Linked DNA regions of Sus scrofa. The protein of the gene in region 1 purifies or fractionates together with the protein of each later gene. This does not show direct contact. Links are inferred from orthologs where the notes say so. Each region holds a gene or a part of one and is shown on either strand. Other genes may lie near its edges.

Evidence for each region.
Region 2: the proteins of RPA3 (region 1) and RFC1 purify together in Homo sapiens (affinity purification with mass spectrometry; 3 studies listed by BioGRID and IntAct, with this or other methods). This does not show direct contact. The link is inferred for Sus scrofa from reciprocal best matches to the Homo sapiens genes RPA3 and RFC1.

What each region holds. Positions count from the first base shown.
Region 1 is NC_010451.4:77,912,007-77,916,177, reverse strand, and holds the start of RPA3 (replication protein A 14 kDa subunit), read left to right. Parts: upstream 1-1,305; 5' UTR 1,306-1,494; coding exon 1,495-1,593; intron 1,594-2,779; coding exon 2,780-2,854; intron 2,855-4,171. UniProt on the Homo sapiens protein: As part of the heterotrimeric replication protein A complex (RPA/RP-A), binds and stabilizes single-stranded DNA intermediates that form during DNA replication or upon DNA stress.
Region 2 is NC_010450.4:30,555,873-30,559,443, reverse strand, and holds part of RFC1 (replication factor C subunit 1), read left to right. Parts: intron 1-1,611; coding exon 1,612-1,803; intron 1,804-2,830; coding exon 2,831-2,905; 3' UTR 2,906-3,571. UniProt on the Homo sapiens protein: Subunit of the replication factor C (RFC) complex which acts during elongation of primed DNA templates by DNA polymerases delta and epsilon, and is necessary for ATP-dependent loading of proliferating cell nuclear antigen (PCNA) onto primed DNA.

The sequences.
Region 1 (4,171 bases):
AAATATATTTACATATATATTATGGGCGGGGAACTATCATTTGACTACAGTACAACAGATTTCCATCTTAAATTGCCCTGTGTCCTTAGTTTAAGGCAGATGCGGGACTAAACTGGAGACTCGAGCTAGGTACCTCAATGGCTTGGGCAAATTCATGAACTCGGTCTCCAAAAAAATAATAAAATCCCAGTGAATTTTTGTTCCCAATTTCTGGAGCACCGCTGGCATGTATTTTTATGAGCACTCATTCTGGAATATTCTGGCAAGGTAAATCCCGGCAAACAAAGCCCTGAAAATCAACAGACACTTGAGCCAGCAAAAGACAAGAATCCTCCCCAAATTTCCTTGAAACAAATTATCTTCCACACCTCCTGACCTCCCCTCCAGAGTCCTGGGTGTGGAAAGCAATGGAGGGAAAGATCAGCAGAGAGTTAAGAAGAGTCTGTCAATCACAAAGACAAAATTTGTCACCTGGAACCTTGCAATACATTCAGTTATCTAACACCCTCATTTTGCGGATGGGGAAATTAGGTCTCAAGAAGTAGCGCACCTGCTCAGGATCTAACAGCTATTTATATTCGTTTCCTCTACTACCCCAGTGGTCCTTTCCTCACTCAGTCCCAAATGTTTCAATTCGTTGCTAACACGGAGGTGAGAAAACCCACACCACAGTGTGGCCAAAAAGTTGGGGCTAAAAAGGGTCGTAGAGATAATCAAGTTAACCTCTTAGCTCACAGGTGGGGAAATTGACAATGGAAAGTGACGCAGCTGAGGCAATAAATCGCCGACCCTCTGCCACCGAGCAGGAGCTTCACAAAGGAGGCGAAAAATCACTGGCGACCCCACTTCCCGTCTCCAGGGAGGAAGGGTGTCAAAAAGAAATCCGATCCCTAGATTTCATTCAACAAGAACCTCGCGCTTCCCACGAAGAACCCGGAAAGAGGAGGCGGGGAAACGCGAATGGCCGGTGGCGCAGCAACGAGCATGCCACGGAGGCGGGGGACAAGTACCAAACTCCCGCCTCTCTCTTCCGCATCCGTTGGTGGGGAGAAAGAGCAACAGTAAGGCTGCGGCGACTCCCGCGATAAGAGGTACCTGAGGCTCGAGCCGCAGTCCCCCGCCGCACCGCACCGGAGCCTGACACCCTGCTTCCGGGGTTATGTTGCAGCTGGGGGGGACAAGATCAAGGGAGGAAGCCTTAGCCCCGCCCTATCCAAGCCCCGCCCCCGCCTACACTTCGCAGAGAGTCCAGGTAACTTCCGGGACGCTGTGCGTCACTAAGCAGCCGATCCCCACTTCCGGGCGCATCCTAGCCTTCTTCGCCGGCGGAGACAGCGGGACTGTGATCGAGATTTCCGCGCGTTTGATTGGCGGAGCGAGAGTGCTGGTCTCCGCGGATTGGTGCCGGGGAAATCCGCCCCGAAGACGTCTGCCGAGCTCAAGGTTTCAGTTGTCGGCTTGTTTCCCGCCATCTGTCGGTCCTGCATTGCAGTTATGGTGGACGTGATGGAGTTGCCCAAATCGCGCATCAACGCCAGCATGGTAACTCAGTTCATCGACCAGCCGGTCTGCTTCGTAGGGAGGCTGGAGAAGGTACGTGCGCTTGCTGCCCTGGGCTCCCCCTGGGGAAGGACCCCGTGACTGTCAGGGTGGAGGCTTCAGAGTGGCTAACAGAGTGAAGGAGGACGAAAAGCTTTGCAACATCACTGCTCTCCGACTGCTTTATTTCTCACAAGGGAATTTTTTTGCACACTTTTTATCCATTGCAGCCTTATTTTGGTGCTTCTCTTAAGGCGAGAAATAGGGAAGTCTTCGAATGCGCTGAGTTCTAAATTCTAGCGGCCCCCACCCTCGTTCTGTTTGTGTTTACATAAAGATTACAGACAGAACTCTCACATTTACTTTCAGATTTTTTTAGTTTAACCAGACTTGACAACTAAGCTAATTTTCTTGTTTACTTATGTTGTTAATTTCCTTTTTTCTCAAACCTCATTTTCTCGTTGAAGTCGCTTTCCTATAAACATTGTTTGATTGTCCTTTTCTGATCCAGCAGCATTCTGTTATCTCACACCTCTGTTAGAGGGCAGCCCCTCAGTCTGCTGGTAAGAAACAGGCCTGAAGTCTTAGAATCAGGGAACTGAGAAAGCTGAGGAAAAGAAAACTTTTATATAAAGTCTTATTTAGTGGTTTTAGCCATGTATCTTCCTGAAATAGCTGTATTCCAAAATTGGGAAAGAAACTGGGTAGGAATGGAGTGTGGTTACAAAATGCTCAAGGCCACAGTAAGTAGCACAGCTGGCATTCAAACCAGATCTGACTGCACTCTTTGCAGCTGTCTCACAGTAGAACCTAGGTCTTCTGACAACCAGTAGTTCTCTATTTATTCTTGCCTAATTTTTAAAAACATACCCTTTGGGAGATATGTACTCTTTAAATCATGGGTGCCAGTAGATCTCACTTTTAGATAGTATGGAGCCTCTTTAATTTGTTCTTAGCATAATGTTGCCAGATTTAGCAAATAAAAATATGGGACACATTTGTACTAAAAAGGAGGGGTTTTTTTTAATGAAATTCAGATTTAATTGAACATCCTTTGATCAGGTATAGTAACACAAGATAATTTGAACCAGTTAAACTTCAAATACAACTGTTTTGTGAGCATCAGTAAAGTAAGTATGGGTCAGTCTGCTCATCTTTTGGTCAAGCGTTTAATCTTTCAAAGAAGATTTTAAAGGGTTTTGTGTGGAGTTTTTTTTTTTAATCATGTTTCTTTTTTTAGATTCATCCCACTGGAAAAATGTTTATTCTTTCAGATGGAGAAGGAAAAAATGTAACCATTGAGTTGATGGAGCCTGTATGTTTAAGTATTAATTCTGTGTATATCTATCTATGTTCTATGTATATGTATATATGTATGTATTCTATGCATGTTCATTTTAATTTCAGAGTTAATTCTTCATCTTGTTTTGGTTTGTTGCTAATGTTTCTGATTCTTGGAGTGGATGTATAAAGGACCAGCTTATCAAACTTTTCTCTCTCTCTCTCAAATCAAATTTTTGCCCTCTTTTTACATTATATTTCCCTTTACATTTCTAACCAGTGATTTTTTTTTTGACTCTGATTTTTTTTTTTTTTTTTTGCTCTGCTTTTTAGGTCCACACCCCCAGCATATGGAGGTTCCCAGGCTAGGGGTCCAATTGGAGCTACAACCGCCAGCCTACGCCGCAGCCACAGCAACGCCAGATCCGAGCCATGTCCACAACCCACATCACAGCTCACAGCAGCCCTGGATCCTTAACCCACTGATTGAGGCCAGGGATCAAACCTGCATCCTCATGGATCCTAGTCGGGTTCATTAACCGCTGAGCCACGAAGGCAACTACTGGACTCTGATTTTTTAATGCATCCCTTAAATGCCAGGTGACAATTCTCCATCCTTATGAAAGACCAAAAAATCACGTTAAGAAAAATCTGTTTAAATCACTCTTTCCTTCCTTAGGAGTTTTACATTTTAAATGCTATTTTTTGTTTACATTTATCTTCAGAGTTCCCATCATGGCTCAGCAGTTAACGAACCCAACTAGTATCCATGAGGATGTAGGTTCGATTCCTGCCATTGCAGTGGGTTAAGGATCCGACGTTGCTGTGAGCTGTAGTATAAGTCTCAGACTTGGCTTGGATCCGGAGTTGCTCTGGTGTAGGCTGGCAGCTACATCGCCAACTCAACCACTAGCCTAGGAACCTCCATATGCTGCAAGTGTGACCCTAAAAAGAGACACACACACACACACAGAAAAAAAAAATTCATTTTCAGTTGTCACGTATTTGTTTTTACAGTTTATGTTTATTGTACTTAAAAATATTTTCTTGGTCATTTATGAAGACAGATCTGTGTGTTATTTAGTTAATATATGCAGAACGCATTGTATAAGATGTAGATAATAGAAGGTTCCTTTCAGTGGGCTCTTTTAAATGAATGACTCCTTATGGAAATGCTGGACATTCTCAGTTTCTTTAAGTGATTTTGTCTTCAACTTTAATGTTTAACTGTATCTTTGGACCTCGAGCCACTGCTAAAGGTAATAGGACTGGTGATATGCTGACAGTAAGTACTCAAACTTTTTTTAACAAGTAACAATTCCATTTTTGCATTGATAAATTTTTAAATTAA
Region 2 (3,571 bases), on another chromosome or scaffold:
TTATACCCCACTGATTCTCCATCACTTTGTAATTAATTACTGTGCACTAGGAGTACTTCAGAGATGTTTTAAATGCTTTTAAACAGTTAAACTTCTTTTCCTTAAATGCCTTTTGCTTATGGTGTGTGCTTTCCAAAGATACCATTTGAGTACAGTATTCAGAGTAGACTTGAAGGTTTGACTTTATAATTTATAGTTTTATCTCTGCTTTATGCTGAGTGGAAAAGCAAGATGTGAAATCTGAGGAGCAAATGTCAGTGGATTCCTTATAAGGATGGGCAGGTGAGCCTGGGAGTGAAAGAAAGAACATATTATGAAAAGAAAGATGTGTTTATTGGCAGAGCATTTTTAGACTTTGTCTCAGTCTGCCTAATCTGGATTCAGTGTATTTATTACATTTGGACAGTCTATTATATAGTAATGTACCCCCTCCTTTATATAATGAGCATGAAAAAAACTAAAGTGACATAACACGATTTTGTCCTCTCAAGTACCTCACCCTTGTGCCTTATTCAGTGCTGTTCTAGAAAACATATTCTCTGTGGCTTGCTGACTCTAGAATTTTGACCTGACCTAATGGCTATGGGCAGATTCTCACAAGAGAAATCCATTGTTAGAATTTGTGGACTCATTCTACAGTTAGGTTTAGAAAGCTTGAAGTTAAGGCTTTTCACATCACTTAGTATTTTGAAATAATCTATTTTTATGGTAAAGGTAATTTGCATATTTTATGGTAATTAAAGGCCAATTTTAACTTGTACCTTTTTTTATAAGCCTTTTTTGATTTATTGGTTCACTAACTTTCCTTATGACTTTTTAGTGATAAGAGAGCACTGAATCGATAAAAATTATGACTTAAGTAACTTTTTATTTTAATTATTTTGGCCACACCTGTGGCATATGGAAGTTTCCAGGTCAGGGATTGAATCTGAGTCACAGCTGTGACCTACGTCTTGGGCCAGGGATCGAATCCTCGCCTCTGTAGCAACCTGAGCCACTGCAGTTGGATTCTTAACCCACTGTGCCACATTGGGAACTTTTTTTTTTTTTTTTTTTTTGTCTTTTTGTCTTTTGTTGTTGTTGTTGTTGTTGCTATTTCTTGGGCCGCTCCCGCGGCATATGGAGGTTCCCAGGCTAGGGGTTGAATCGGAGCTGTAGCCACCGGCCTACGCCAGAGCCACAGCAACGTGGGATCCGAGCCGCGTCTGCAACCTACACCACAGCTCACGGCAACGCCGGATCGTTAACCCACTGAGCAAGGGCAGGGACCGAACCCGCAACCTCATGGTTCCTAGTCGGATTCGTTAACCACTGCGCCACGACGGGAACTCCCATTGGGAACTTTTAAAGTAACACTTAAAAATCTGCCTTATGTTCCCCAAATACTGATTTCTTATTTTTTGAGTCATGGACTCTATTAAAGAATGTCATGAAAAATATGGAACCTCTCTATAGAAAAATGCACATGCATACACTTAAATGTACACATATATATTTTACAACAATTTCAAGGGGCTCCCAGGATCTCTCAAAGCCTCTGGGCCTGTAGAACTTAAAGGATTGTTTGGCACTTAAGAGTTTTAATAATCTTCCTCTGTTCCTTTCGTGTAGGTGAAAGCAGCCTTCACAAGAGCTTACAATAAGGAAGCCCACCTTACTCCGTATTCACTGCAGGCAGTAAAGACACACAGACACAGCACAGGTCCAGTGCTGGATTCTGAATACAACGAAGAGTTAAATGAAGATGACTCTCAATCTGATGAGAAAGACCAGGACACTTTAGAAAGTGATGCTATGATCAAGGTAGTATATTTTAATGTACAAATAGGAGAAGCTATGATACTCCCTCAGAATAGCTTATCTTTTCATGTGTATGACTAACATTTTGAAATCATTCAGGGCCTGTTTAGCAAGTAGCAGAGGAAGCTGAAAATGCTTTTAAGTTTTTTGTTCATCACAGTTCATTTGTATAAACAGCTTCTATAACAGTGGAAGAGCCTAGTAACAAGAAAATAGCCATCATATTGATGGTCATGTGCTGTTAGTAAAAGGACAATTTTTATTTATTTGCCATTGGTGTGTGCTTTACGCACAGATATACTTTCACCGCATAATTAAGCATTTTTATTTTAGCGAAACCTTTTTTCCCTTCTGTTGTTTTCTCCTGTATACATTGAATTGCCTATAGAAGTTTCTCAGAGCAAAACAGCCTCATCTTTTGCTAGGAAAGATTAAAATCATGTATAATATTGGCCCACTATTTGCTATTGGCTGAGGCAAAGGAATCTAGTTTGTAGCCTCTTCTGTGCTTAGTGTGTGTCTGTGTATCATTCTCGATCCTGTTTGTGTTCTCGTTTCTGTGCAGGGGTGGGAACAGTGCCCTTCTTCAGTGAGGCGCTCTCTAGTCCTGTGTAGACCTAAGACGTCTACCTCTCTCCCCTGCTCAGAGTGAGCATGTTGGGATCTCTAATCTGAAACTGAAAGCAAAGGAAATTCTTCATGAGGACTTTACTGTATCTGTAAATTATCTCTTGCTTATTTTGTCTTTCTTAAATATACTTATGTTTTTTATGTTCTGAGTCAAAGAAAATGCATACTGGGGAACATATCCTAGTTCTGGCGTCTTAATAGATGTTCAGTAGTTAAAGGCTGCAGCTAGCCACTTGTGCTAGTAAGCATCAGGGTAGCAGTAGTTCAAGATCTAGGTGTTTGCAACCTTTCCCCCTTTTTAAGTTACAGGTAAAGATTTGATTTACTGTAGAGATGACTTTATTTCATTACTCATGAAACACAGCTATTAACTATTCTGTGCATCTTTCTTTCCCAACAGAAAAAGCCGAAACCTTCAAAATCAGAAAAAGATAAGGAGTCCAGAAAAGGAAAAGGGAAAAGTTCAAAGAAATGAAACTGTTTTTGACTGCTGACAGCCACTTTTTACTCACCCTGCTGACCAGTCTAGCTGGTCTAGAGAATGCCTTGTTTTTCCATAGGAACCATGTTGTAGTGTAATGGGGCAACCTCATGGTCCCGTTACAAATCAACAGTGGTGCAGCTAGAAGGATGCAAGCAGTAGGCTGGTATGCACCTCTTATAGAGGTTGATAGGACTCCTTGGGTCCTCCACTATCCCTTGTCAATCCAATGAGATTGTACTTCAAAATGACTGTATAATCAGAATTTGGAGTCAGATTTTAGTTAATGGTAATATGTCTGGGAACAGAGGTACTAAGGTGGCTTTTGTAGGCTTAAGAATTTATCCTAATGGCCATTATAGGACCAATGCTGATTTTCTTAAAAAGGGTAGTTAACTATTATGTGGTGAAATTTTGTAAATAAATTATAATACAAAACAGTCACCACCTAGAGCTGGATATTCTTTGTACATTGTCAGATATCTTACAAAATATAAATTAGGGATAACAATATTCCACAATACATGTACAGATTCTTAAGATTGTCATCTTATACGGTAAAATATTATGTCGGTATATTTTTTCCTTATTAATTTGCAAATGATTGGATAAAAAAACTAAGTATATTCTTACTAACCTTTGTGTGAAACATAACTTTGG